Linked DNA regions of Macaca fascicularis. The protein of the gene in region 1 binds, or shares a complex with, the protein of each later gene. Links are inferred from orthologs where the notes say so. Each region holds a gene or a part of one and is shown on either strand. Other genes may lie near its edges. The genes, in order: EIF3I and EIF3L.

Region 1 (15,477 bases):
CGCGCCCAGCTAATTTTTTGTATTTTTAGTAGAGACGGGGTTTCACTGTGGTCTCGATCTCCTGACCTTGTGATCCGCCCGCCTCGGCCTCCCAAAGTGCTGGGATTACAGGCTTGAGCCACCGCGCCCGGCCAAACATCACATTCTTAATTAGCCTTCTCTGACACTGAGGCAAAACTAAATTGGTTTCTCCCTTTAAATAGAACTCCTTAAGAAGTAGGACTTTGTCTTGTTCCTTTTATTCTAGTGCCCAGTACAAGATCTGACTGGCAATGTTTGCAAGAAAAAGGAGAAAAGGAGAGGTTATCACTGCTCCAAAGTGGCTGTCACCCTACTAACCAGGGCTGCCCACCCAGACTCCCAGAGGGCATACCTGGGGCTGGAAACTTACTCCCTGCCTTTCTGCAGATGCCCGTGTGAAGTGAGGGCTCGGACGCACTCCCTGTGGTCTTGGCTCAGCCAGCCAAAAGAGCAACAAAGACTCCGGAACCCACTCTACATCCTCAATCCCTTGGCCATCTGTGGAGCCCCAGAGCCTGCGGCTGGGCAAGGTGAGCCCCACACCTTCTCCACGGGGGATTATCCCTCCGCTCAGCGTCCTGACCTGTGTTCCTCCTCCTCGGGCCTGTTTCTTCGCTGGACCCACTCACCTAAGCCTGCAGAAGCCGCATGGGGGAAGAGCGTGGCAAACAGTGACAGGAAGGGAGAAGACAGAAGCCTCTCAGCCAACTACTTCAGCCCCCACCCTAAGCACTGGCTCCTTGGACAGCAACCGAGACATTCCTGAAACCTCTGCAGGCCCCTTAGGACCTTTACACCTTGGAAGAGGATGCCTGCAACCCAGGCTGGCCAAAAGTACGGACGGTCTTAAGTTTGAGGTGTCCAAAGTATAGGGAGGTCTAAATAATAAAAGTCTCCATGATCGGCATCCCCTTGCTGGGGTGTCAGTGAAAAGGAAAGATGATAAAACAGACCCCACAAAATATCTGACCAGAAGCCATTTATTACCAAACCAATTTATTTCTTAGAGTTCAAAACCTTCTGTGAGAATCTTCTCTGGCCCGGATAGAGATCCAGCTTATTATTATTATTATTTTTTTGAGACGGAGTTTCGCTCTTGTTGCCCAGGCTGGAGTGCAATGACACGATCTCAGCTCACTGCAACCTCCGCCTCCTGGGTTCAAGTGATTCTCCTGCCTCAGCCTCCTGAGTAGCTGGGACTATAGGTGCGTGCCACCACGCCCTGCTAATTTTTATATTTTTAGTAGAGACGGGGTTTCTTCATGTTGGTCAGGCTGGTCCCAAACTCCTGACCTCAGGTGATCCGCCCACCTTGACCTCCCAAAGTGGTGAGATTACAGGCATGAACCACCGCGCCCGGCCGGAGATCCAGCTTCTCAAGCCTCAAACTCGAATTCGAAGTACTGTGGGTCGAAGTAATGGATACGGACGTAACCATCTTCACCGCCGCTGCTGTAGCTGGAAAAAGATAGCCAGGCACCAGTCAGGTGCCTACTCTAGGAGAGGCAGAGACCCAACCCGGGCTTAGCTCAGCTGCTTCACTGGGACCCTACCTCTTGCCATCAGGATGGAAAGCAACACTGTTGATAGGTCCAAAGTGACCCTTGACTCTTCCAAACTCTTCTTCAAAGGCCAAATGGAAGAACCTGGAGGAAAAGGGACACAATTAATTCACTTTCCATTTCCTTCCAAAACATTTTGAAGGTGGCGCTCCCCAAATGCAAATTGTTATATTTATTTATTTATTTATTTTGAGACGGAGTCTCGCTCTGTCGCCCAGGCTGAAGTGCAGTGGTGCGATCTCAGCTCACCGCAAGCTCTGCCTCCCAGGTTCACGCCATTCTGCTACCTCAGCCTCCTAAGTAGCTGGGATACAGGTGCCTGCCACCATGCCCGGCTAACTTTTTTGTATTTTTAGTAGAGATGGGGTTTCACTGTGTTAGCCAGGATGGTCTTGATCTCCTGTTCTCCTGATCTGCCCGTCTCAGTCTCCCAAAGTGCTGGGATTACAGGCGTGAGCCACCGCACCCGGCCCCATTTATTTATTTTGAGATGGAGTCTTACTCTGTCACCCAGGGTGGAATACAGTGGCGCAATCTCGGTTCACTGGAACCTCCACCTCCTGGGTTCAAGCAATTCTCCTGCCTCAGCCTCCCGAGTGGCTGGGATGATAGACGCCTGGCTAATTTTTGTATTTTAGTAGAGATGGGGTTTCACCGTGTTGGCCAGGCTGGTCACCAACTCGGCTTCTGCTTTATTTTTTGTGATATAATTTGCATTTGAGGCCAGGCGTGGCGGCTCATGCCTGTAATCCCAGCACATTGGGAGGCCAAGAAAGGCAGATCGCTTGAGGCCAGGAGTTTGAGACCAGCCTTGCCAACATCTCTACTAAAAATACAAAAAGCAGCCAGGCACGGTGGTGTGCACCTGTAATCTGAGCTACTCAGAGGCTTAGCGGGAGGATTGCTTGAGCCCAGGAGGTTGCAGTGAGCAGAAATGGTGCCACTGCACTCCAGCCTAGGCAACAGAGTGAGACCCTGTCTCAAAAAATAATAATAAAGCAGAAAAATTGAGATAATAAGTGAATGTGAACAAAATAAGATGAAGTTGGGGGCTGTGGTTCACGCCTGTAATCCCAGTACTTTGGGAGGCTGAGGGCAGAGGATCACTTGCGCCCAGGAGTTCGAGGCCAGCCTGGGCAACATAGTGAGACCCTGTATCTTTATTTTTTAACTTTTTTATTATAAGAGGAAGACCGGACCCAGAAGTCTGCCTAAATTCATAGCTAATACTTATAGAGTGCCTACTACGTGCTGGGCAGTGCTTAAAGAGCTTAATAAATATTAACTGAATAATTTAATCTGCATAATTTTATGGTAAGTATATTGTCACTGTCTCATTATACAATAGAGGAAATATGGGCATAGAGAAATATAATGAAGGCCGGGCACAGTGGCTCATGCCTGTAATCCCAACACTTTGGGAGGCCAAGGTGGGCAGATTACTTAAGGCCAGGAGTTCATTCAAGACCAGCCTGGCCAACATGGTGAAACCCTGTCTCTTCTAAAAATACAAAAATTAGCCAGGTGTGTTGGTGGGTGCCTGTAATCCCAGCTACCCGGGAGGCAGAGGCAGGAGAATCGCCTGAACCTAGGAGGCAGAGATCACACCATTGCACTCCAGTCTGGGTGACAGAGCAAGACTCCGTCTCGGGGAAAAAAAAAAAAAAGGTGCACCCCATGAGATTTCAATTTGGAAGAGCTCTCTTCCTCTTTACCTGGCCTCAAACTTGCCAATCCTGGTGGAGGTTGTGGTTACATCCATGGCTTCCTGACCACCGCCCAGGACCACCTGAATGGAAGAAGAAACTCTAGATGGGCCCGATGGACACCAAGTCTATTTTCTGTTTTTCTCCTGCCATATACATTTTTCACATCTCACACAGCTCAATGGGAGGATACCAAAGGTAGGGGATGATCAGACACTTCTGCCACCTCCTGCCCGCTTCCCTGGGGCTATTCATCCTTCCAGCTTTGTCACTCCTCTGGGAATCTCCTCTCTGCCTGACATCATTTCCCCCACAATGTTGTAGCCCAACTTCTGGACAAGCATCTAGAACTTGGAAGCTTCCTGAGGCTTTAGCAGGAAGGCTGGATGGGGTTCTCTTACATGGTCATAGTTGGGGGAGAGAGCAGCTGAGTTGACGGGACGTTCTGTCCGGAAAGTCTTCTGATGTTCAAGAGTTGTGGAGTCAAAAAGCTGGAGAGAGAAGGCAAGGGGGATATCTGTAGAAAGAGCCTTCCTGGGGGAAGTCGGGCAGGGTGAGCTGTGCAGCAGGAGGGAGGCAGCAGCCCTGCCAGACCCCTGCCCAGGCTCACCTTGGCTGTGTTGTCCTTGGATGCGGTCACAAACATGGTCATGTCCCTGGATAACTGGATGTCATTGATCTGCCGGGAGTGCTCCTTAACATTCACCAACACCTCTCCAGACTGGGGAAGGAGGAAGAATGAGACTGACTGGGCCCAATCCCTACTAATCTCAGTTCCCCAGAAACCTAAGCACCCAAATGAGAAAGCTGAGATAGCATGGACTTTGTGTTTTCCTCACCCCCTCTATCTAATCAGTCACCCCTAAATATCCCTTGACTCTGTCCAGTAATGTACATCCTATGCCTGATGGCTAGTTCAGGTCCATTCTCCAAACATAACCTGCAAGCGCTGTTGGAAGGAAAATCTGGCCATAGATAACCCTTTCAAGATTCCCTACTGCCTGGAGGAAAATCAAAACTCTTTATCTCCTCACACTTAAGGACGTTTAAAATCTATTCCCTGTCCTCTGTCCCCAAGACTGCATCCCAATGGTTCCTGAAGACTCCATACTTTCTTAACTCTGTGCCTTTGCTTTTGCTGTTCCTTTTGCCTGTGGGATGTTCTTTCCTTCCTGCTTGAAGCTCCATTTATTCTCCAGGGTTTAATGTACACACCACCTCCCTGGGACAGTGCACCTTCCACACCTGGTTGAGACTTCTACGGTGGCACAGTTCACAATCTGACTCAGGTGCTAGCTGTTTGCAAGTCCCTTCCAAGGGGGAAGGGACTGTGTCTGATTTACTTCTTTGTTCTAGGAACTCAGCACAGGGCATTATACTCTGGTGGCAGGGAACTGCTCATTTGTGATCCTTAATTTTTTTTTTTTTTTTGAGACAGGGTCTTGTTCTATCACCCAGGCTGGAGTACAGTGGCACAGTCATGGCTCACTGCAGCCTCAATCTCCCAGACTCAAGCAATCTTTCAGCCTCAACATCTTGAGTACCTGGGACCAGAGGCACGCTCCACCACACCCAGCTAATTTTTAATTTTTTTTTTTTTAGAGATAGGGTTTTCCTGTATTGCCCAAGCTGATCTCAATCCCTGGGGCTCAAGCAATCCTCCTGCTCCAGTCTCCCAAAGTGTTGGGATTCCAGGTGTGAGTCACCGCACCCGGCCTGTGATCCTTATTAACATGTCCTGAGTACTTTGTGACAAGTTTTTCAAACATGTGATATCATTTGATCCTTGAAACATTTTACAGATAAACAGGGTCAGAGAAGTTATGTAACTTGCCCAAGATCACACAGCTAAAAAGTAGTGAAATCTACATTTCAATCTCACCTCTGCTCTTTTTAAAAATTTTTATTAATTTTTTCTTAATTTATTAGAAAATCCCAGCACTTTGAGAGGTTGAGGCGGGTCAACCTCCCTAAGTGCTGGGTCTCACTGTCACCCAGGCTGGAGTGTAGTGGTATGATCACAGCTCACTATAGCCCCAACCCCTGGGCTCAAGAGATCCTCCTGTCTTGGCCCCCAAAGGCACTGGGATTACAGATGTGAGCCACAGCATACAGCTCCGCCCTTGCTCTGAACTACTGTGCTATCACCAGTGCCTGAGGCAGGTGGATCATCTGAGGTCAGGAGGTCAGGGGTTTGAGACCAGCCTGGCCACCATGGTGAAACCCCATCTCTACTAAAAATACAAAAATTACCCAGGCATGGTGGTGGGTGCCTATATTCCCAGCTACTTGAGAGGCTGAGGCAAGAGAATGGCTTGAATCCAGGAGGCAGAGGTTGCAGTGAGCCAAGATCGTATCACTGTACTCCAGCCTGGTCAACAGGGTGAGACTCTGTCTCAAAGAAAAAAAAAATACAGGTGTGGTGGCTCATGCCTGTAATCCCAGCACTTTGGGAGGCGAAGGTGGGCGGACTGCCTGAGGTCAGGAGTTCGTGACCAGTCTGGCCAACATGGTGAAACCCCATCTCTACTAAAAATACAAAAAAAATTAGCCAGGCATGGTGGCGTGTGCCTGTAATCCCAGCTACTCGGGAGGCTGAGGCAGGAGAATTGCTTGAACCCGGGAGGTGGAGGTTGCAGTGAGCCGAGATGGCACCACTGCACTCCAGCTTGGGCGACAGAGAGAAACTCTACCTTAAAAAAAAAAAAAGAATCATTCTGGTAGGCTCAGGCCCCATGTGGCCTCTTACCTTGGCACTATACTGGTTGAGCTCTCCACTCTCATGGCCAGCGATGATGCACTCCCCCAGGGGTCCCCAAACGGCACTGGTGATTTTAGAGTCGTTGCAAGGGATCTTCATGTAGGGCTCATTGTTGTCTGTGTGGAGCAGTAGATGTTAGGCCCTGGGCTCTAGAGCTGCACCCTTTACCTCAACCCCAGCCCTAATCCCAGCCCTCACCAATCTGGCTCGGATCCCGCAGGTCAAAGAAGCTCACAAAGCACTGGTAGCCCATCTGCTTGTCTGTGGAGAACATGATGATGTTGCCCCCAAAGTCAAAACCACAGGTCCGGACAGCCGAATTGGTCTTGAGAAGGGCCAGCTGCTTCCCTGGAAACAGGCAAGAGTCTGGGCTACACCATCCATTGCAATTGCAGGGAGGACATTCTAGAGAATGCTACCATCGCATCTCACTGTTTCTCTTGCTCCAGTAACCCAAACTTAGAAAGTATTTTTTCTTTTTTTTTTCTTTTTTAAGACAGAGTCTCGCTCTGTTTCCCAGGCTGGAGTGCACTGGCACGATCTCCGCTCACTGCAAGCTCCACCTCCCGGTTCAAGCCATTCTCCTGCCTCAGTCTCCCAAGTAGCTGGGACTATAGGCGCCCACCACCATGCCCCGCTCATTTTTTGTATTTTTAGTAGAGACGGGGTTTTACCATGTTAGCCAGGATAGTCTCGATCTCCTGACCTCATGATCCGCCCACCCTGACGTCCCAAAGTGCTAGAATTACAGGTGTGAGCCACTGCGCCAGGCCCTTTTTTTTTTTTTTTGAGATAGAGTTTTGCTCTCGTCCCACAGGCTGGAGTACAATGGTGTGATCTCGGCTCACTGCAACCTTTCAAGCGATTCTCCTGCCTCAGCCTCCCAAGTAGTTGGGATTACAAGCACCCGCCACCATGCCTGGCTCATTTTTGTATTTTTAGTAGACGGGGTTTCGCCTTGTTGGCCAGGCTGGTCTTGAACTCCTGACCTCAGGTGATCCACCCCCTCGACCTCCTAAAGTGCTGGGATTAACAGGCGTGAGCCACCACACCTGGCCAAGTATTTTAACTTCTTATCCAGACTCTTTCCTCAGACATCCTGCTAATGTGGTACTGCTCATACGCAGACTGCAATATATCTATCTCCCCACTCAGACTGCAATCCTCCACAGCAAAGACCTGATCTGATTTCCCTGCATGTCCCCAGTGCCCAGCATAGACCTGGCACTAAACAGAACAACTTAGGCTGGGCACAGTGGCTTATGCCTGTAATCCCAGCACTTTGGGAGGCTGAAGTGGATCACTTGAGGTGAGGAGTTTGAGACCAGCCTGGCCAACATGGTGAAACCCCATCTCTACTAAAAATACAAAATTAGCCACCGGCCAGGCGCAGTGGCTCACGCCTGTAATCCCATCACTTTGGGAGGCTGAGGTGGGTGGATCACCTGAGGTCTGGAGTTTGAGACCAGCCTGGCCAACACAGTAAACCCTGTCTCTACTAAAAATACAAAAATTAGTCAGGTGTGATGGCGCATGTCTATAATCCCAGCTATTCGGGAGGCTGAGACAGGAGAATCACTTGAACTCAGGAGGCAGAGGTTGCAGTGAGCCAAGATTGTGCCACTGCACTCCAGCCTGGGTGACAGAGCGAGAGAATCCGTCTCAAAAAAAAAATTAGCCAAGCATGGTAGTGTGCGTCTATAATCCCAGCTACTCGGGCTGGCTGAGACAGGAGAATCCCTTGAACCCGGGAGGCAGAGGTTGCAGTGAGCCAAGATCATGCCATTGCTCTCCAGCCTGGGCGACAGCGAGACTCTGTCTCAAAAACAAGAAAAAGAAAAAAAAAAAAAAGAAAACTTAATAGGCTCCCCTGTCTTCAGTCTTAGCTCTTCCAGTGCCTCCCCCCTGCTCCCTGACCTTGCTAAACTGAACAGACCCCCACTCTTGCCTGCTCAGGGACCTCCACAGCACCCCATATTCTATGGAACAAAGCCAAGCTCCTGAGTTTGGCATTCAAGACCTGTTCTGGCCTTAGCCTGACTCTCCAGCTTCATCTTTTCCATGACTGTGTATTTCACCCCCCTACCCCCACCCCACCAAGAAGCAGGAATTGCAGCCAGATCAGATGACTTGGACACAACAGTCTCCACGCTTTCACTCCTGCATGTGCCAAAGTGATGACGTCTTTCCTCATCCTTTAAGCTCCAGCTCATATGACATTTACCTTGGGAAACCTTCCCAGGCTGCTCCCATCCCCACTCTAGGGAGCCAGTTGCTGGGCTCTGGCCTCCCATAGTAATCTACGCTTCCTCTACCATGGTGTGTATCTTACTGTAAGACTTCTTTTCTCATCTGTCTTTCTTGTCTCTTATTCCCTAGACTGGAAACTATCTATGGATTTCATCTCTATTTTCCTAGGACCTGTTGCTAAAAAAGTGAATGAACCTAGCTTACCTGTTTCACAGTCCCAGAGACGACAGCTGTTGTCAGCTGAGCCAGTGAGGACATGCTTGGTGTCCCCTGAAGAGTTGTTAAGAAACATGACGAAGTTCACCTGAGCCCTTGTCCTCTGGGGGAGGCCAAGTGAGTCATCTCCCTGTTCAGCCCCAAAGAGCCTTTCTTCCCCTCTTACCTCCTTATCCAGAACTGGAACTTGTCCTAAATGTTTCCCCAGCCAGTGAAGAGACCAGGGAATAGGAGGTATTGTTCTCTAGGCCCTCAACAACACCCCCAACTCCCAACTTCCAACCTAGCCTCTCCATTGCTGACAGACCCTAGCAGCATGGACTCAGAGCCAAAACAAGGATACAGTCAGCGTCCACACACCACACAGCTCCGGTATGGCCCATGTAGGTGCCCAGCCTCTCACCATTCACAGAGTACCATACATTGACGATCTGGAAAAGTCAAACCACAGGATAGTAAGAGCGATGCTTCCTACTTTACCCCAGGAACCCTCAGCAGCCTGTAGCCAGGCTGATTCTGCCCTCTTCTCTTCATTTCTTGGGAAACAGCAGGGAGCTGATAAAAAGACCAACTCCTGGATTCTCCTCCCTTTCTGAAGGTAAGCAACAGAGGAGTCAGGCGGCTTGTAAAAGCATCCTCATTTGTTAGCTCCAGCTCTCCTGGGACTCCCAGTGGCTCCAAAGAATAAAAGGCCAAGTTGAGCTCCAGTCCAGAAAAACAGTATCTCTGATGTCTTATCCAAGTGGGAGCAGCTGATAGTAGGGAAGTCTGGGTTCCAGTGCCTGCTCTGCCACTGTCTCACTGTATGATCTCAAATACAGTGCTTCTCTCCTTTGAAGTTCAGTTTTCTCATCTTGAAAATGGCCAGGCTGGGTGTGGTAGCTCACGCCTGTAATCCTAGCACTTTGGGAGGCTGAGGCAGGCGGATCACCTCAGGTCAGGAGTTCAAGACCAGCCTGGCCAACATGGTGAAACCCTGTCTCTACTAAAAATACAAAAAGTTAGCCGGGCGTGGTGGCACGAGCCTGTAGTCCCAGCTACTCAGGAGGCTGAGGCAGGAGAATCGCTTGAACCTGGGAGGCGGAGGCTGCAGTGAGCCGCGATTGCACCACTGCACTCCAGCCTGTGTGACAGAGCGAGACTCCGTACCCCAAAAAATAAAATAAAATTTTAAAAAGGCAGTATCATGAGGGACTGTTTTGCATTGAGTAGCAGAATGGGATTGACTTAAAATGAGACTAGAGACAGCCTCATTAAGTCCCCTGTGTCTGAATAACACAGCCTGCACTATCCTGGTAGAAAAATTAGATTATCCCTAAAGGCCGCATCCCATTCTCTGGGCAAGCTGACCCTCATCCTTATCCCCTTTCCACAGTGGTCTCTTGCTTTTCTTTTCTTTTTTTTTTTTGAGACAGAGTCTCGCTCTGTTGTCCAGGCTGGAGAGCAGTGGCGCCATCTCGGCTCACTGCAGCCTCCGCCTCCCGGGTTCACGCCATTCTCCTGCCTCAGCCTCCCGTGTAGCTGGGACTACTGGCACCCGCCACCACGCTCGACTAATTTTTTGTACTTCTAGTAGAGACGGGGTTTCACCGTGTTAGCCAGGATGGTCTCGATCTCCTGACCTCGTGATCTGCACGCCTCACCTTCCCAAAGTGCTGGGATTACAGGCTTGAGTCACCCCGCCCGGCAACTGTCTCTTGCTTTTCTTGGAGTACAGTGGCACGATCTCAGCTCACCGGGCTCCAGCGATCCTCTCGTTTCAGACTCCGAAGCAGCTGAGGCCACAGGCGCGAGCCACCACATCAGGCTAATTTTTTGTGTGTAGAGATGGGTCTTACTATGTTGCTCAAGCTGGTCTCCAACTCCTGGACTCAAGCGGTCCTCCCACCTCGGCCTCTCAAAGTGCTGGGATTACAGGCGTGAGCCACCGCAGTCGGCCAATCGAGTTCTTCCCTACCTTTCCCAGTAGAATACTTTCGCCAACCTACCCCCGGGATGGCCTCTCCCTACTTCTCAGAATGGGCCGTTCTTTGGTTCCCCGCTAACGGCAAAACTGGCATGTCCACCCATCGTCCTGGCAGAAGGATCTCTCGCCTCCCGGACCCCCTCCGCATGGTCCCGCCCGCCCTCCAGCCGACGCTCACAGGGTCCTTGGCCACAGTAAAGAGGAGGTCTCCTTCGCGGTTATACTTAATCTGCGTAATGGACCGCTCATGGCCCTGCAGTAGGATCGGCTTCTGTGGGGACAAGATGGTAACGTCAGTGCTCGGAATTGGGCCCCGGCCTCAGCCCAGGACGCCCACTGCAATACCCATAACTCTGAAACTCACCATCCCGGCGGTGACGCGAGGAAGGCCGCAACGTGAGTAGGACCGGAAAACGCTTTGGGTCCACTTCCGGATTATGGGTCTCCGCCCCCTCGTTCCCGGAAGTAGAAGACAGCGGCGTTGCCATGGCGGCGTCTCTGGGTAGGTAGCCGACCCCGCCCCTCCATGGATTTCCCGACCCTCGCCTCGAATTCATTTCCTGCTCCACCTGCACCCCCTAATCCCGACCCCTGCTACAACCCCAGAGGCTGGACTCCTGGATTCATCTCCCCAGCCTCGCTGGGCCTGCCTTAGCCGCCAGTCGCAGCCGAGGCGAAGACAGCGAAGGAGGGAAGTCGGGGCGGCTAGCTGGGGCTAGGAGGCCAGGAGAGGGCGGGGTGGGCGGCCGTTTGGGGTGGGGGTCAGGGTGACGCACTCGTCTGTATTCAGGGCAGGTGCTGGCTCTGGTGCTGGTGGCCGCTCTGTGGGGTGGCACGCAGCCGCTGCTGAAGCGGGCCTCCGCCGGCCTGCAGCGGGTTCATGAGCCGACCTGGGCCCGGCAGTTGCTACAGGAGATGAAGACCCTCTTCTTGAATACTGAGGTGCGTCTGTGAAAGGCCCCTCTCTCGGGGGAGTTGCCACCAATAATTTGGTCTTTGGAGTCAAACAGGTCTGGGTCAGCCCCACCCCCACTCACCAGAAATTCTCCGAAGAGTCAGTTGTCCTCCTTAAGCCTCAGTTTCATCATCTGTAAATGGCGATTATAATAATAACAACCATCTGATAGGGCAGTTGTGGGAATTAGGTGAGATACGTAGAGCATTTAGCTTTGGGCCTAGAACATAGTAAGTGCTCAATCTATGGCTGCCATTATTCACATTTTATTATTGTGATTCCTTCAGTTAAATAAGGCAACATTTGTGAGCCTTTCCAGAGGGAGGACTTAGGGCTCAAATTGGCCCTGCAGGGGAGGAGTTCAGAGAAGGAAGGCTGGAGCTGGAGGACTTGGGGAAGGATTCCTGGAGGAGCTGACATTGGCATCAAGGCCTTGCAGGATGGGAATTAGCAGAGTTGAGGGAGAGGGTAGTTTGAGCAAAGGCACAGAGTTCAGTCTGTTTCCCTCTTTGCCCTGGAAGGGTTCTCCTTAGAGGGATTAGTGTTCTCTGGGTCTTTATAACCCTCCCTCCCTCCAAGGAAAGGCATTCGCTAGGAGCTCAAAGAAGGCAGTGCTGCTCAGTCAGGCCATCACACTGACTGCAGGTTTCTCCTCTTTCCAGTACCTGATGCCCTTTCTCCTCAACCAGTGTGGCTCCCTTCTCTATTACCTCACCTTGGCATCGACAGGTGGGTCCTGGCTTGGAACTGTTCTGCTTAGTGTTTGAGGCCACCTGGAAGAGTGATTTGAGGGGGTGGAGCTTGAAACACCTCATTCCCATCAGTGAGAGAGGGCTGACTAGCTCTAGTTCCCTCTTAGTACCCTCTTCTCTGAACAAGAGGGACACAGTGGGCTGGTTATGAGTATGTTGCTAGGCACTGGTGTTGGTTTGAAGCCTGGCAGTCTTGTGTGACCAGCGGAGGAAGAAGGAAGGTTCATTTTGCTGTGCCAAGTGCTGGCTTTCACATTCTTGCTTCCACTGTGTGCTACCTGCCTGACCATGAGCAAGTCCCTCATTTGAGCCTTGGTTTTATACAGCTGGCTTCATAGCATTGTGAGGATTAAATTTAATGAATGAGAAACATGTAGGACAGTGCCTGGCACACAATTAGAGCCCCATATACATAAATTTCCTTTCTCTTGACATTTGTTGACTGCCCTCTACTACGTCAGATACTGCACTAGTCTTACACATTATTTAATTCCAATCATGATTCTGTAAAGCAGACATGATTATCTTAGAAAATGAAGTTGCAAAACTTTGGGCAATTTCACCTCTCTTAAGTCCCACAGTATGTCAGTGCAGAAGGATTTGAAGCCATATATTAAAGTTTATGCTCGACTGGGCATGGTGTCTCACGCCTGTAATCCCAGCCCTTTGGGAGGCCAAGGAGGGCAGATCACTTGAGGTCGGGAGTTTGAGACCAGCCTGGCCAACATGCTGAAACCCCATCTCTACTAAAAATAACAAAATTAGCCAGGTGTGGTGGTGCGTGCCTGTAGTCCCAGCTACTTGGGAGGCTGAGGCACAAGAATGACTTGGACCCAGGAGGCGGAGGTTGCAGTAAGCGGAGATCACGCCACTGCACTCCAGTCCCTGGGCAACAGAGCGAGACTCTCTCTCAAAAATAAATAAATAAATAAATAATATGCACTTATTTATGAGTTTGAAAGCCTCTGGCCTCATGCATTCACTGCTGTGGAAGAATGCTGAACCCTTGACCAGCTGACTACAGCTAGCCATTCACCAAGTTTTAATCACAGTATTAGATTCTTTTTATCTCATTACCCTCTCTGCCTATATCCTTTAATATCCATCCTTTCTAATAACCAGAACAGTAATCACTATTTATGAAGCGTCCACTTCAGCCAGGGACGATCCATGCATTATCACAGCTCATCTTAACAACAGTCCAACAAAAGAAATGGTATACTGTGATCCCTGTTTTACATATGGGGAAACAGGTTGAGTGTTTGAATATCCTAACCAAGATTACAAGGGAAACTCAGATCTGCCTCACTCCAATGCCCTCACTTTCCCACTGCACCATGCTACATCCTTCTCCCATCTACTGTTGCAAACCAGACCTCAGCAGCCATGACACTCCTTGTAAGGTATATAAACTTAAGAAGGCAGTTCTGGGCAGGGCACAGTGGCTCAGGCCTGTAATTCCAGCAATTTTGGAGGCTGAAGTGGGCAGATAACCTGAGCCTAGGAGACCAGCCTAGGAACAACAGCAACAAAAAAAAATACAAAAATTAGCTGGGCTTAGTGGTGCATGCCTGTAGTCCTAGCTGCTCAGGAGGCTGAGGTGGGAGGATCGCTTGAGCTCAGGAGGTTGAGGCTGCAGTGATCAGTGACCTCACCACTGCACTCCAGCCTGAGCAACAGAGAGAGACCTGTCTCAAAACAACAACAAAAAGAAAAAAACAACAAAGAAAGCAGCTCTTTGTAAGTGGGGTTGTTATATCAATTTCTTAGATGGGTAATGCCTCCATGCTGGGGCCTCTCAGGGGATGAGGAGCAGGACAGTTTGCTCCTCTCCCTCACACAGGCGAGCCCTGGGAGTGCTGGGAAAGAATGTGCTGAGGAGCCAGTGTGAGCATCTGGTCTGCAGTTGAGTCTTGTTACTATGGATAACTCAGCTGATTTATCCATTGGTCTTTTTTTGTGTGTATGTGGCTTTTTTTTATTTTTTATTTTGAGAGGGTATTTTGCTCTTGTTGCCCAAGCTGGAGTGCAATGGTACAGTCTCGGCTCACTGCAACCTCCGCCTCCTGGGTTCAAGTGATTCTCCTGCCTTAGCCTCCCCACCAGCTGAGATTACAGGCACGTGCTACCACGCCCGGCTAATTTTGTTTTTTTGTTTTTTTTTGTTTTTGAGTTGGAGCCTTGCTCTGTCACCTAGGCTGGAGTGCCGTGGTGCAATCTCTGGTCACTGCAACCTCTGCCTCCCAGGTTCAAGCAATTCTCCTGCCTCAGCCTCCCAAGTAGCTGGAACTACAGGCATGTGCCATCATGCTTGGCTAATTTTTGTATTTTTAGTAGAGATGGGGTTTCACCATGTTGGCCAGGCTGGTCTTGAACTCCTGACCTCAAATGATCCATCCGCCTTGGCCTCCCAAAGTGCTGGGATTGCAGGCGTGAGCCACCACAACCGGCCTAATTTTGTATTTTTAGTAGAGACGGGGTTTCTCCATGTTGGTCAGGCTGGTCTCTAACTCCCGACCTCAGGTGATCCGCCCGCCTCGGCCTTCCAAAATGCTGGGATTACAGGTGTGAGCCACTGCGCCTGGCTGTGGCTCTTTTTTTTTTTTTTTGAGATGGATCTCGCTCTGTTGCCCAGGCTGGAGTGCAGTGGCCCGATCTCCGGTCACTGCAACTTCTATCTCCCGGATTCAAGCAATTCTCCTGCCTGAGCCTCCTGAGTGGCTGGGATTATGTGCCACCACGGCTGGCTAATATTTGTATATTTAGTAGAGATGGGGTTTCACCATGTTGGCCAGGGTGGTCTCAAACTCCGGACCTCAAGTGATCCACCCACTTCAGCCTTCCAAAGTGCTGGGATTACAGGCGTGAGCCACCACTCCCGGCCTGTGGCTCTCTTTTTTTTTTTTTTTTTTTTTTTTTTTTTTTTTTTTTTTTGAGACGGAGTCTCGCTCTGTCGCCGGGGCTGGAGCGCAGTGGCCGGATCTCAGCTCACTGCAAGCTCCGCCTCCCGGGTTTACGCCATTCTCCTGCCTCAGCCTCCTGTGTAGCTGGGACTACAGGCGCCCGCCACCTCGCCCGGCTAGTTTTTTGTATTTTTTTTTTTTAGTAGAAACGGGGTTTCACCGTGTTCGCCAGGATGGTCTCGATCTCCTGACCTCGTGATTCGCCCGTCTCGGCCTCCCAAAGTGCTGGGATTACAGGCTTGAGCCACCGCGCCCGGCCGGCTCTCTTTTTAATGTGATAACAACACTTAACAGGAGATCTACCCTCAACAAAATTTTTTTTTTT
Region 2 (15,477 bases), on another chromosome or scaffold:
TTTGTTACCCAGGCTGGAACGCAGTGGCTAGATCGTAGTTCACTGTAGCCTCAAACGCCTGGGCTCAAGTCATCCTCCTGCTTCAGCCTTCTAAGGCAGGGGCTATAAGGGACTCCCTCCCATAGCTGGGACTACAAGTACACGCTACCAAGCCTGGCTGAGTTTTCTTTGATTTATAAAAGCATGATTTATAACAGTATTGGAAAACTTCCACTATTGACGTGTTATTACTTTTGGCAAAACTGTTTGTATCGGGGTAGCTAACTTATGCCAAAAACCAAATCTTCCAGAAGTCATAAAAATGAAATGAGAGTATTTATTTTAAAGCAAGATGAACTTGCAAAAACAGACTACCCAAACTGACCTAGAAATTCCACAACTAGATATATAGCTGAAAATTAAAAACATATGTTCACATAATAACTTCTAAATGAATATTCACAGCAGCACTATTCCTAAACCAAAAAGTGAAAAAAGGAACAAAAAAACCCCAAAATCCCAAATGTCCAACAACTAACAAATGGATAAACAAAATGCAGTACCTTAATACATGGGATATTATTCAGCTATAAAAGGAATGTACTGACACATGCTATAACACGGATGAAACTTGAAGACATGTTCAGTGAAAGAACCCAAACACAAAAGCCCATATATTACATGATTCCACTTATCTGAAATGTCAAATGCAGAGAGACCAAAAGCAGATTACTGGTTTGCCAGGGGATGGCAGAAAGGGGGAACTGGGGAACTGCAAGTGACTGCTAGTGGGTAGGGAGCTTCTTCTTGGGGGGACAGAAATGTTTTGGAATTAGACAGTGGAGATGGTTGCAAAACACTGTGAACATACTAATAACCACTGAATTGCTCATTCGTTCATTCGTTCAATTTATTTATTATTATTATTTTTTTGAGATTGAGTCTCGCTCTGGCGCCCAGGCTGGAGTGCAGTGGCGCAATCTCGGCTCACTACATGCTCCGCCTCCTAGGTTCATGCCATTCTCCTGCCTCAGCCTCCTGAGTAGCTGGGACTACAGGTGCCCGCCACTACACCCAGCTCATTTTTTGTATTTTTAGTAGAGATGGGGTTTCACCGTGTTAACCAGGATGGTCTCGATCTCCTGACCTCGTGATCCACCAGCCTCGGCCTCCCAAAGTGCTGGGATTACAGGTGTGAGCTACCGCGCCTGGCCCATTCAATTTATTTATTTATTTTTATTTATTTATTTTTTTTGAGACGGAGTCTCGCTGTGTCGCCCAGGCTGGAGTGCAGTGGCCAGATCTCAGCTCACTGCAAGCTCCGCCCCCCGGGTTTACGTCATTCTCCTGCCTCAGTCTCCCGAGTAGCTGGGACTACAGGCACCCGCCACCTTGCCCGGCTAGTTTTTTGTATTTTTTAGTAGAGACAGGGTTTCACCGTGTTAGCCAGGATGGTCTCGATCTCCTGACCTCGTGATCCGCCCGTCTCGGCCTCCCAAAGTGCTGGGATTACAGGCTTGAGCCACCGCGCCCAGCCCATTCAATTTATTTATGGAGACAGGGTCTCACTCTGTCACCTAGGCTGGAGTGCAGTGGCGTGGTCTTGGCTCACTGCAACCTCCACCTCCTAGGCTAAAGCAATTCTTGTGCCTCAGCCTCCCAAGTAGCTGGGATTACAGGCATGCACTACTACACTCAGTTAATTTGTGTATCTAAATAAATAAATAAAAACGAAAATCTTATCAGACATTAAAATGTCCAGCTTGAACTTAAAAGTACCAGTTAAAACTAACACCGTTCTTCAACCCGCCTCCCCTCCTGAGAGGAAGCTACTGCTATGTTGCTTGTTTATCCTTCTGGAAAGAACTTCATGCATACACAGGCATACACAAATGTATTACTAGTCACTCTGTAAAAATCTTTCTTGTATTTTTTGTAATATACAAACCATCCAAATGTTAATCAACAGGAGAATGGATAAACTGCAGTACAATAACAACAGTAGATGCTGGACTATCAGAACAACAAACACGAAGGAATCACTGCTACACACAATGGACGGTGACTCACTCAATTATAATGTTGGGCAAAAGAAGCCAGACTTAAAGAGTACATACTATGTAATTCCATTATATAAAGTTCACAAACAGGCAGCACTAACCCAAGGTGTTAGACATCAGGACAGGACAGGCGCAGTGGCTCACACCTGTAATCCCTGCGTTTTGGGAGGCCAAGGTAGGAGGATCACTTGAAACTAGCCTGGGCAACAAAGTGAGACCCTGTTTCTATAAAGTAAAAACTTAAAATCAGCTGGGAACAATGGTGCATATCAGAGTTCGAGACCAGACTGGGCAACATGGCGAAATCCCATCTCTACTAAAAATACAAAAAATTAGCCAGTCGTGGTGATGTGCGCCTGTAATCCCAGCTACTTGGGAGGATGAGGTAGGACAATCACCTGAGCCCAGGAAGTTGAGGCTGCAGTGAGCTGAGATTGCACCACTGCACTACAGCCTGGGCAACTAGAGCGAGACCTTGTCTTAAAAAAAAAAAAAGAAACTAGCCGGGCGCGGTGGCGGGCACCTGTAGTCCCAGCTACTCGAGAGGCTGAGGCAGGAGAATGGCGTGAACCTGGGAGCCGGAGCTTGCAGTGAGCCGAGATCCGGCCACTGCACTCCAGCCTGGGCGGCAGAGCGAGACTCCGTCTCAAAAAAAAAAAAAAAAAATAGGGCCGGGCGCGGTGGCTCACGCCTGTAATCCCAGCACTTTGGGAGGCCGAGGCGGGCGGATCACAAGGTCAGGAGATCGAGACCACAGTGAAACCTCGTCTCTACTAAAAATACAAAAAAAAAATTAGCCGGGCGCGGTTGTGGGCGCCTGTAGTCCCAGCTACTCGGGAGGCTGAGGCAGGAGAATGGCGTGAACCCGGGAGGCGGAGCTTGCAGTGAGCCGAGATCGCGCCACTGCACTCCAGCCTGGGCTGGGCGACAGAGCCAGACTCCGTCTCAAAAAAAAAAAAAAATAAAAATAAAAAAAAAAAAATAAATAAATAAATAAATAAATAAATAAAAGAGAGGCCGGATGCAGTGGCTCACGTCTGTAATCTCAGCAATTTGGTAGGCTGAGATGGGCGGATCAACGAGGTCAAGAGATTCAGACCATCCTGGCTAACACGGTGAAACCCCGTCTCTACTAAAAAATGCAAAAAATTACCCGGGCGTGGTGGTGGGTGCCTGTAGTCCCAGTTACTCAGGAGGCTGAGGTAGGAGAACAGCGTGAACCTGGGAGGTGGAGGTTACAGTGAGCTGAGATTGCACCACTGCACTCCAGCCTGGGCGACAGAGCGAGACGTCTCAAAAACAAATAAATAAATAAAATTTTTTTAAAAGGCCAGACACGGTGGCTCATGCCTGTAATCCCAGCACTTTGGGAGGCCAAGGCAGGCAGATCACGAGGTCAGGAGTTCGAGATCAGTCTGGTCAACATAGTGAAACCCTGTCTCTATTAACAATACACAAAAAATTAGCTGGGTGCGGTAGTGTGCGTCTGTAATCCCAGCTACTCAGGAGGCTGAGGCAGGAGAATCGCATGAACTCGGGAGGCGGAGGTTGCAGTGAGCCAAGATCGTGCCACTGCACTCCAGCCTGGGCGACAGAATGAGACTCCGTCTCAAAAAAAAAAAGCTTTGTGCAGTGGCAGTATGGCCAATGAAGGTTATGTGAGGTATGATTATTGCTAACTAAAAATAAAAAAATTAAAAAGGCAGCAGGACAATGGCTTCCCACTTGTAAAGTACTCCAACAGTCTACAAAGCACCATCCCCCTTTCTCCAACCTCATCTACATAGCCTCCTTTCTCAGGCCACTCGGGCATACCGCAGGTGTCCCTTAAACTTACTGGCCTCACTCCTCTTCGGGGCCTTTGCTCTAACTATTCCTTTGCCTGGAAGGCTCTTCCTCCAGGTATCTGGGGAGCATTTTTTTTTCTTGAGACAGAGTCTTGCTCTGTTGCCAGGCTAGAGTGCAGTGGTGCGATCTCAGCTCACTGCAACCTCTGCCTCCCGGTTCAAGTGATTCTCCTGCCTCAGCCTCCCAGGTAGCTGGGACTACAAGCATGTACCACCATGCCCAGCTAATTTATTTTTAGTAGAGATGGGGTTTCACCATGTTGGCTAGGATGGTCTTGATCTCTTGACCTCATGATCCGTCCACCTCGGCCTCCCAAAGTGCTGGGATTACAGGCAAGAGACACCGTGTACGGCCTTTGGTGAGCTAGTAAGAATCCTCCACCGGGTGGATTGCTTGAGGTCAGGAGTTTGAGACTAGCCTGGCCAACATGACAAAACCCTGTCTCTACTAAAAATATAAAAATTAGCCATGTGTGATGGCAGCCTCTTATAATCCCAGCTACTCAGGAGGTTGAGGCAGGAGAATTGCTTGAATCTGGGAGGCAGAGGTTGCAGTAAGCCGAGACTACATCACTGCGCTCAAGCCTGGGCAACAGACTAAGACTGTCAAAAAATAAACAAACCAAAAACCACTCCCTTCAAGTCTTAGCTTAGCTTAAACTTCACTTTCTCAACAAAGCCTGTCTGAACACCATATTTAACACTGCAACCTGTGCCTCCCACCACCTCTTCCTCCCTTTACTTTGCAGTGCTTGGCAACCTCTTATTACATAGTTTAATTATAACATCTATTGTTAGCTGGGCATGGTGGCTCACGCCTGTAATCCCAGCACTTTGGGTAGCCAAGGGTGGCAGATCACCTGAGGTCAGGAGTTTGACACCAGCCTGACCAACATGGAGAAACTCCATTTCTACCAAAAATACAAAATTAGTTGGGCATGGTGGCACATGCCTCTAATCCCAGCTACTCAGGAGGCTGGGGAAGGAGAATCGCTTGAACCTGGGAGGCGGAGGTTGTGGTAAGCCAAGATCGTGCCATCACATTCCAGCCTGGGCAACAAGAGCGAAATTCTGTCTCAAAACAAAAACAAAAACAAAAACAAAACAAAACAAAAAAAACCCAAAAAACATCTATTGTTTATCTCGTGTTTTTTTTTGTAAACAGAGACAAGGTCTCACTACATTGCCCAGGCTGGTCTTGAACTCCTGGGCTATAGTGATCCTCCTACCCCAGCCTCCCCTAAAGTACTAGTATTACCAGCGTGAACCACCGCGCCTGGCACCTTGTGACAGTACCACAAGGGCAGGAATCTCTGATTTTGTTCCCCGATATACTTTCATGTGCCCACAATAGTGAATGAAAGATAGTGAACACTTAATACAAGACCCCAAGCCCGGGGACAGCATACCTTATCAATGTAGAAGTCAACCTCTGAGGCTGACTGAAATTCACCATCCAGGGCTGAGATGCCGCTGGTCCACACCAGATTCTTCATCTTGTGTTTGAAGACAAGAAGCTGGATCCGGAACTCCTGCTCTGTGAGGTCCAGGAAGCCAGCCAGCTTGGCCACAGGCATGGTGGTGTAGAGCTTGAGGAAGCTGCGGATGGTGGAAAGCTGGGCCTGCTGCTGCACTTCATCAGAAAACACCTTCAGCTGCTGCAGGAAGGGCTCTTTGTGGTAGTTGGGGTGCACATTATCATAGTTGGGCACTACAGGCGATAGGAACTTGGGGCAGGAGTAACTGAAAAGTTCTTCATAGACTTGTGGGTCACCTTTCTGCATGCGCAGCATCTTGTCCCCATATTTCTCCCGCAGCTGGAGGTGAATGCTCTCATCAATACGCATGGGGTACATAGTGAGGGCAATGGCCAGCAGCGCATGCATCTGCTCATTCTGCTTGTTAATCTGGGAATGGGGTGGAGAGTTGTACCCGGTCAAATAAGATGGACTTCCTGAGGTCCCCACCGTCAGTCAACTGGCCTCACCATTCTCTGCACAGATCTTTCACTTACCCAGTTGTCTCATACCAGCCACTGAATTTACCCCACCTCTCTTCCAATCCTCCCTCTAGATCTACTTAACTTCCATCCTAGGTCCAGATCCTCCTTAGCCATTTCCTGGATTCCTTACTGGCACCTCTGCCTTAGTCTCTCCAGTTTGTCCCACACATCACTAGCAGGTCAATCCTTTTACACCAGTTAGGATCGAGTTACCCAAAACCTTTGATGCGACTTTGATGCCGACAGAATATAGACTAAACAGTCATGTGCTGTGCAACAACGTTTCAGTCAACAACGGGTCATGGGCTACATATAGGATGGTGATCCTACAAGATTATAATCCTGTATTTTTACTGTATCTTTTCTGTTCAGATACACAAATACCTTGTGTTACAACTGCCTATGTTATTCAGTACAGTAATATGTTCTAGAAGTTTGTAGCCAAGGAGCCATAGGCTATACCATGTAGCCTGGGTATGTAGTAGGTTATCCCATCTAGGTTTGTGTAAGTACACTCTAGGATGTTCACACAACAAAATCACCAAACGGTGCATTTCTCAGAATGTATCTGCAGCATCAAATGACACGGGACTATACTTTACCTGGGTTAATGAAGGTTCTCAGAATCCAATAACCCAATTCCTACTGCCTATTTGCCCTCCAGCCAAAACGGTTTATTGTGCTGCTGCATCACCACACCTTCAAGTCTCAACCACTTTGCTCATGCTATTCTCTGCCTAGGAAGCTCCTCCCAATTCTATGTATGCTTTGAACCCATCCTCCTTCCCATCAATATCCACACCTTATTTTTTTTATTTTTTTTTTTTTGAGACGGAGGCTCGCTCTGTCGCCCAGGCTGGAGTGCAGTGGCCGGATCTCGGCTCACTGCAAGCTCCGCCTCCCGGGTTCGCGCCATTCTCCTGCCTCAGCCTCCTGAGTAGCTGGGACTACAGGCGCCCGCCACCTCACCCGGCTAGTTTTTTGTATTTTTTAGTAGAGATGGGGTTTCACCGTGTTAGCCAGGATGGTCTCGATCTCCTGACCTCGTGATCCACCCGTCTCGGCCTCCCAAAGTGCTGGGATTACAGGCGTGAGCCACCACGCCCGGCCCACACCTCATATTAAAACACTCAGAAGCCAGTGAACACTCTGATGTTTGTATTTTTCTTTTTTTTTTTGAGACGGAGTCTTGCTCTGTCGCCCAGGCTGGAGTGCAGTGGCCGGATCTCAGCTCATTGCAAGCTCCGCCTCCCGGGTTCACGCCATTCTCCTGCCTCAGCCTACCGAGCAGCTGCGACTACAGGTGCCTGCCACTTCGCCGGGCTAGTTTTTTGTATTTTTTAGTAGAGACAGGGTTTCACTGTGTTAGCCAGGATGGTCTTGATCTCCTGACCTCGTGATCCGCCCGTCTCGGCCTCCCAAAGTGCTGGGATTACAGGCTTGAGCCACCGCGCCTGGCCTGATGTTCATATTGATGCTGAATAAATAAATGTAGGCACTGCTGGAGGATATAATTGAAACAAAAGATATTATCATCAAGATGTTAATGATCTGAGATAACAGGCATCACAACAGAAACTCTTAGAGTATGCTAGCCATTAAAACATCATTTTGGCCGGGGGTGGTGGCTCACGCCTATAATCCCAACACTTTGGGAGGCCAAGGTGGATGGATCACCTGAGGTCAGGAGTTCGAGACCAGCCTGGCCAAATGGTGAAACCCCATCTCTACTAAAAATACAAAAATCAGCTGGATGCGATGGCACATGTCTGTAGTCCCAGCTACTCAGGAGGCTAAGGCTGGAGAATCACTTGAACCCAGGAAGCAGAGGTTGCAGTGAGCTGAGACCGCACCACTGCACTCCAGCCTGGGTGACAGAGACTTGGTCTCAAAAAAAAAAAAAATTAGCCGCTGAGCCGCTGTTGTGTCTGTTGTGTGCACTTTTAGACCCAGCTATTGGGAAGGCTGAGATAGGATGATCGCCTGATCCCAGGAGGTTGAGGCTGACGTGAGCTGTGACTGCGTCACTGCACTCCAGCTGGGTGATCTACTAGTAGGCACAATCATCATAGAGCACTCTACAGCCGTGAACTCCTGGCTTAAAATTGCAATATTTTGGATGGTGTTTACCAAGAACGGTTGGCATAGGTGCCAAGGAGCCTTCTGATTAGAAAGGTCATTGGTGGCAGGCAGAGTCCCCCTTACCATCTCATACTTATATGTGGTCCTCTGAAACATGCTCTTGGTCCTCTGGATGTAGAGGAGGATGTTGGCGAAGACCCGGATGGCATCCTGGTAGCGACGCATCATCAAATATGCAAACCCAACATAATAGTATGTGGTGACCTGGCACTCTGGCACGCGGGAATACATACTCTGCAGAAGGAGGTGGAACATACATCCATGAGTCTCAATTCATCCTAGATAGAACCAGAGGTAGAAACACCAAGAGTTTTCCCTGCAGAGCCCTGAACTATCCAGAGGAAGCTCTGCAGTTCCAGAGTTTGAGAGCCCATCTTCCTATTCATCAATTAAGTTGTATGTTTTGAGGAATCCATTTTCTTAGCTGTAACAAGAAGGTTCTGGATCAGGTAATTCCTAAAATCTCTTTCAGCTCCAAAATGCTATACATCTCAGTTTTGTTATTTTTCCTTGTTTTTTCAATTAAGTCCTTTTGGACAGGGAAGACAGAAACACATACACACACATGAACCAAACACCAAATAATCTGTAATATTTTTCTGTGGTTAGGAAGAACACAACAGCTAACCATGTATCAATGAACATACCATCTCAGAATTACATCTTTACTTCTTTTTTTTTTTTTCTGGGATGGAATCCTGTTCTGTCACCCAGGCTGGAGTGCTATGGTGTGATCTCGGCTCACTGCAACCTCTGCCTCCCAGGTTCAAGTGATTCTCCTACCTCAGCCTCCTGAGTAGCTGGGATTACAAGTGCCCACCATCACACCCAGCTAGGTTTTTTTTTTTTTTTTTTTTGTATTTTTAGCAGAGACAGGGTTTCACCATGTTGGCCAGGCTGGCCTCGAACTCCTGACCTCGAGCGATCCACTTGCCTCAGCGTCCCAAAGTGCTGGGATTACAGGCGTAAGCCACTGCAACTGGCCTTCTCAATCCTTTAGCAAAACGTGAAGAGTAAAGAACTGCCATGGGCCAGGTGCAGTGGCTCACACCTGTAATCCCAGCACTTCGGGAGGTCAAGGTGGGTGGATCATGAGGTCAGGAGATTGAGACCATCCTGGCCAACACGGTGAAACCCCATCTCTACTAAAATAAAATAAAATAAAAAAATTAGCTGGGCATGGTGGCGCATGCCTGTAGTCCCAGCTACTCAAGAGGCTGAGGCAGGGGAATTGCTTGAACCCAGGAGAAGGAGGTTGCAGTGAGTCGAGATGCGCCACTGCACTCCAGCCTGGCGACAGAGCAAGCTGCCATGATCACTCCATTTTGAAAAGAGAATAAAAAACTGTCATTAACTATCAAAATCGTCCAGGTCCAGCTTTTTACCACAGCTGTTTGCCCAGTTTTAGTCTCAACTTTCAATGGCCTGAGGGAAGAGTCCTCTTTCCTCTCCTGGAAATTTGTCCTAAGAGATCAGAGTGGTTCTCTAGAAATACATATTCTGGCTCTGGCAAGAAGGGCCAGAGGCAACAGGCATCACCTTCTTGTTCAGTTCGATGTTCTCCAGCACCTTGATAGCCTGGTAGTAATCTCCTAACAGGGAGTGCAGGCGGAGGAGCCCCACCAGGCTGAAGTAACCAAGCATTTTGTAGAGGGAGTGCCGCCCATACTCCCCAGCCACACTCTCGGGGTCACCTGAAAAAGAGAGACACCGTGAATACTCTGATAGGAGGCAGGTAAAGGCATGTATACCTGACCTCTGATTGTTACTCAGTAGGCATCTCACCTACTGCCAGCCTTGAAAGCTTCCCTCAATTGGGAATAACTTCAAAGGAATACCACGAAACAGCAAAACCAATCTTATGCTAATCTTAAATTTACCAATATTTGCTTACAGGGTGGCAGTTCAGTCTGCTTATTTTTTTTTGGTCCCAACACATGAAAAGGCCCCTCTCATCAGTAAAATACATCCATGAACACTCCTCCTTTCAGAACGCACATGAGGTCAAAGCTATTTTCCTAATAACAACACTAAGATGCTACTTGCCCTTCCCACTAAGTTGAATTTTACATGATGCAAACGCTATGTTGGGTAAAATTACTGTTAACTTAAGCATAAATCAGGTAGCGACACAAAATTGTACTGATAGTCACTGTATTGTTCCTTGCCATGCATTTATTTGCACTAAAAGAACTAGTCCTTAGCCAGGCATGGTGGCTTGGACCTGTAATCCCAGCTACTTGGGAGGCTGAGGTGGGAGGATTTGCTTGAGCCCAGGTACCATATCTGAATAACCAGAGTTTGTATCAGTTTTTGTTGTTGTTATTTGTTTGTTTTGAGACACAGATCTATGGAAGTGCTACTGCATTTTGGCCTGGGTAACAGAGAGACTCTGTTCTTAAAAAAAGACAAAAAAAAGAAAGAAAATCCTTTTTTCATGGAGTATCATTTTTACTTGAAAGAACAACTGATACACAGCTGAGCGCAGCTCATGCCTGTAATCCCAGCACTTTGGGAGGCCGAGGTGGGCGTTATCACTTGAGGTCAGGAGTTTAAGCCCAGCCTGCCCAACATGGTGAACCCCGTCTCTACTAAAAATACAAAAATTAGCCGGGTGTGATGGTGTGCACCTGTAGTCCCAGCTATTGGGGAGGCTGAGGCAGGAGAATTGCTTGAACCCGGGACGCGGAGGTTGCAGTAGGCAGAGATTGTGCCACTGCACTCAAGCCTGGGCTACAGAGCAAGACTCTGCCTCAAAAAAAAAAAAAAAAAAAGGCCGGGCGCGGTGGCTCAAGCCTGTAATCCCAGCACTTTGGGAGGCCGAGACGGGTGGATCACGAGGTCAGGAGATTGAGACTATCCTGGCTAACACGGTGAAACCCCGTCTCTACTAAAAAATACAAAAAACTAGCCGGGCGAGGTGGCGGGCGCCTGTAGTCCCAGCTACTTGGGAGGCTGAGGCAGGAGAATGGCGTGAACCCGGGAGGCGGAGCTTGCAGTGAGCTGAGATCCGGCCACTGCACTCCAGCCTGGGCGACAGAGCGAGACTCCGTCTCAAAAAAAAAAAAAAAAAAAAAAGGCGGGGGGGGGGGAAGGGCACACATTTTCACAAAAATGAAGTAAACCTGTCACACCTCAAAGAAAAGAACTGACAGTGTTTGCTACCAATACAACAATTCAAAAGTTGGGCACAGTGGCTCACACGTGAAATCCCATGAGTTCAAGATCGGCCTGGGCAACAAAGTGAGACCATGTTTCGTCTTTTTTTTTTTTTTTCCTTTTTGTGGAGAACGGGGTCTCGCTATATTACCCAGGCAGGTCTCGAACTCCTGGACTCAAGCTATCCTCCCGCCTCTGCCTCCCTGAGAGCTGGGATTACAGGCGTGAGCCACCGCGCCTGGCCGTGAGACCATGTTTCTATTAAAAAAAAAACCAAAAAAACAGCCAGGAATAGGTGCACATCTGTGGTCTTAGCTACTCAGGAGGTTGAGGTAGGAGGATCACTTGAGCCCAGGAGGTCGAGGATGCAGTGAGCCATGATTTTGCCACCGCACTTCAGCCTGGGTGACAGAGTGAGACCCCATCTCAAAATAAATAAAAATTCAAGCTATTAAGCAAAAATGGAATTTTGTAAAACTTGTATCTGCCACTACAAGCTCTGTAGCTGACGAATAAATGCTTACCTGATATCAGTGGCAAAAGTAACAAATGTGACTTTTTCAAAAAAATGTAATAAAATGTGTTAACATTTGGAAGATCTTTATAACTCAGTGAACCAATTTTTTTTTAAAAATCACACATGGCCAGGCACAGTGACTCACGCCTGTAACCCCAGCACTTTGGGAGGCCGAAGCAGGCAGATCACTTGAGCCCGGGGGTTCAAGAGCAGCCTGGCCAACATGGTCAAACTCTGTTCTACTGAAAATACAAAAATCAGCTGGGTGTGGTGGTGCGTGCCTATAATCCTTCCTTTCTATATCCTGGGAGGCTGAAACAGGAGAATTGCTTGAACCCGGAGGCAGAGGTTGCAGTGAGTTGAGATCATGACACTGCACTCTGCCTGAGTAACAGAGTAGATTCTGTTTCAGGAAAAAAAAGTCACACATGGATGTAAGGAACTCATTCAAATTACAAGAGTGACCAATAACGTTAATATAACAAAAGAAAAATTCACTAATACAGTTTCAGATTCCTCACTGCACCTAATCTGTATGAAACTACCAATGGTTATTTCAAAGTACAGGGTGAGTATACTTCTATAAATGCTTGTGACCAGAAGTGTTCTGGATTTTGCAACTTTTAATATCCGCATACATCTAATGATATATCTTTTTTTTTTTTTTGAGACGGAGTCTCACTCTGTTGCCCAAGCTGGAGTGCAGTGGTGCCATCTCGGCTCACTGCAACCTCTGCCTCCCTGGTTCAAATGATTCTCCTGTCTCAGCTTCCCAAGTAGATGGGATTATAGGTGCCCAGCACCAAGCCTGGCTAATTTTTTGTATTTTTAGTAGAGATGAGGTTTCACCATGTCGGCCGGGATGGTCTTGAACTCCTGACCTCAGGTGATCTGCCCGCCTCGGCCTCCCAAAGTGCTAGGATTATAGGCGTGAGTCATGGCACCTGGCCCTAATGAGGTATCTTAAGGATAGGATTCAAATCTGAACATAAAATTCAATTATTTTTCATATATGTCTTATACACACAGCCTGAAAGTAATTTTATTATAATCTTTTAAATAACTTTTGTGCGTGAAATAAAGTTCTGACTGCAACTGGTCACATGGGCTTGGGGGTAGAATTTTCCAGTTACGGCATCATGTGCGTGCTCAAAAAGTCAGATTTCGGGCCGGGCGCGGTGGCTCAAGCCTGTAATCCCAGCACTTTGGGAGGCCGAGGCGGGTGGATCACGAGGTCAGGAGATCGAGACTATCCTGGCTAACATGGTGAAACCCCGTCTCTACTAAAAATACAAAAAACTAGCCGGGCGTGGTGGCGGGCGCCTGTAGTCTCAGCTACTTGGGAGGCTGAGGCGGGAGAATGGCATGAACCCGGGAGGCGGAGCTTGCAGTGAGCCGAGATCACGCCACTGCACTCCAGCCTGGGAGACACAGCGAGACTCCGTCTCAAAAAAAAAAAAAAAAAAAAAAGTCAGATTTCGGAGCATTTCAGACTTCAAATTTTCAAATCAGGAATATTCAACCTATACATACTACTACATGGTGTAGTATCAAAGAAAATCCTCTCCAATAAGCCTGGCACTTTTGGGAGGCCAAGGCAGGATTGCTTGAGCCAAGAAGTCCAAGACCAGACTGGGTGACACAGCGAGACCCTGTCAACAAAAAACTCCTTCCTTTCTATATCTGCATTAAGCCAGATTTTCTTTCTTTCTTTCTTTTTTTTTTTCCAGATAACCTCTCGCTCTGTCGCCCAGGCTAGAGTACAGTGGTGTGATCTCAGTTCACTGCAACCTTTGCTTCCTGGGCTCAAGCAATCCCCCGACCTCAGTCTCCCAAGTAGCTGGGCCTCCAGGGGCACCCCGCCCACCATGCTCGGCCAATTTAAACACTTTTTTTGAGACAAAGTCTCACTATATTGCCCAGGCTGATCTCAAGCTCCTGGGCTCAAGCGATCTTTCTGCCTAAGCCTCCCAAAGTGCTGGGATTACAGGTGTGAGCCACAGTGCCTGGGTCAGATTTTCTTTCTAATCAAACAAAAGATTACACTGCAACAGATTGCATGCAGAAGGAGAAATGAGAAGCCAGCTAACTTGTATGAAGCCAGACAGAGAGACCGGCAAAAATGCCACTCTTCACTTAAAAAAAAAAAAAAAAAAAATTTTTAAAGTATAGATACATTTTGTGGTTCTCAATATTTTAACAGGGTAAAGTGGCTCTGACACCAACACGCGTGAGAAGTGCTTATCTGAACAAAAGCACTGGAGACACAGTAGAAGTGTTTATAAACGTAAATCTCAACATGCTGGTTCAGTGTGTTGGCCAACGGACTCCCAAGCCCCAGAGCCCCCAGCATGAATACTCTGCTACTGTTTGTACTCGAGCACCTACAAAGAGTCAACAGACCACCATCTAAGACATGGTGACTCATCTGCTTTACTTGCAAGATTCTATTCATTTAGAACAGACGGCAAGCAGCTGGAAATTCGCAGGCCGCAGCTGTTGGCCTGCTGCACTCACCTCCGCTTGTGTATACCTCCAACTGTCGGTTGATGTTGGATTTGTCTACCAGGGAATGAAGGACATTGAGGACACTGTGAACATTCCAGATTTTGGGATTGGAACGAAGAAAGTCAATCTCCTCCTCTGACTTCTTGGCAGTCTTACAGCGGTACTGACTGAATGACTGAAACTGTTGAGGAATAAACGAAATATGCTGTAGTGGTATAAGCCCAAAGTGATCGTCCATGTGCACAATGCTGAAAACGAGGCAATGCTCTGGCTCTGGACGGGGCGAGGTGATTGAGACATCCACTTCTCATTCTAAACCATTCTGTACACTGTTTTTCAAAGCCATCTTTGACTAAGCTGTGAATGTTGTTCATTACTGAATGTTACTACACAGTGAAGTAAAAATCTCTAGGATTAGAGGTAGTCTGTGGTAAAAACATCCAATCTGGAGTCAAACACAACCTAAAGTCACTTCCTATCTCTGGGCCTCACAGTGCAGTTGAGCTGGTCACCAGAAACACCCCAGGGGCTCTTGTACCATCTATTCAGATGCAGCTAGACCATGGCACGGCCTGGGTTATGAGCGGTGATGTGGTAGTAGGTATCTGCACGTGTGAGCCTTCCCTACCAGTTCCCTATCTGGGAACTGACCATCAGTTCCCAGACTATGTCCTCTCTACCACTCTCAACCAGAGTCATCTGGCCAAGAACAAGGAACACAGAGAAGACAGGCCACAGGAATCCATTTGGGACAGAAGTAGAACCTGGAAGCACTGCTGGCCTGGCTCCATCAGTCACATAGATGGAACACAACAGACCTGCCTACTCAATTTTTTTAAGTTCTCTGGTTGAATCTGGTGTGCATCAGGTTTGGAAATCACAGACCTAAAACCTAGGTCTTAGAAGCTCTAAGACTGTTCTTCAACTATTCCAGCAAGGATCAGTGGCTCACCCCTGTAATCCTAGCACTTTGGGAAGCTGAGGTAGGCAGATCACTTGAGTACAGGAGCTCAAGACCAGCCTGGGAAACATGGCAAAACCCCAAAGCTATAAAAAATACAAATGAATTAGCCAGGAATGGTGGCAGGCGCCTGTAGTCTCCACTAATAAGGAGGCTGAGGTGGGGGCATTGCCTGAGCCCAGGAGGCAGAGGGTGCAATGAGGTGAGGTTGTGCCACTGCATTCCAGTGTGGGTGACAGAGTAAAACTCTGTCTCAAAACACAAAAAATTATCTTATTCTAGAGTGTGGGACAAAAAATTGC

What was found.
Region 2: EIF3I (region 1) and EIF3L share a complex: the UniProt entries of both Homo sapiens proteins name them as parts of the eukaryotic translation initiation factor 3 (eIF-3) complex. The link is inferred for Macaca fascicularis from reciprocal best matches to the Homo sapiens genes EIF3I and EIF3L.

Annotation. Positions count from the first base shown.
Region 1 is NC_088375.1:202,796,781-202,812,257, forward strand, and holds EIF3I (eukaryotic translation initiation factor 3 subunit I), read right to left. Parts: upstream 10,898-15,477; 5' UTR 10,850-10,897; coding exon 10,847-10,849; intron 10,754-10,846; coding exon 10,661-10,753; intron 8,948-10,660; coding exon 8,860-8,947; intron 8,571-8,859; coding exon 8,505-8,570; intron 6,399-8,504; coding exon 6,249-6,398; intron 6,167-6,248; coding exon 6,039-6,166; intron 4,011-6,038; coding exon 3,900-4,010; intron 3,781-3,899; coding exon 3,691-3,780; intron 3,373-3,690; coding exon 3,299-3,372; intron 1,668-3,298; coding exon 1,575-1,667; intron 1,480-1,574; coding exon 1,398-1,479; 3' UTR 988-1,397; downstream 1-987. Other genes in the region: uncharacterized protein, read left to right, coding at 248-787; TMEM234 (transmembrane protein 234), read left to right, coding at 10,969-10,984, 11,273-11,424, 12,100-12,166. UniProt on the Homo sapiens protein: Component of the eukaryotic translation initiation factor 3 (eIF-3) complex, which is required for several steps in the initiation of protein synthesis.
Region 2 is NC_088384.1:13,737,025-13,752,501, forward strand, and holds part of EIF3L (eukaryotic translation initiation factor 3 subunit L), read right to left. Parts: intron 14,396-15,477; coding exon 14,224-14,395; intron 9,725-14,223; coding exon 9,570-9,724; intron 8,265-9,569; coding exon 8,094-8,264; intron 5,794-8,093; coding exon 5,296-5,793; intron 1-5,295. UniProt on the Homo sapiens protein: Component of the eukaryotic translation initiation factor 3 (eIF-3) complex, which is required for several steps in the initiation of protein synthesis.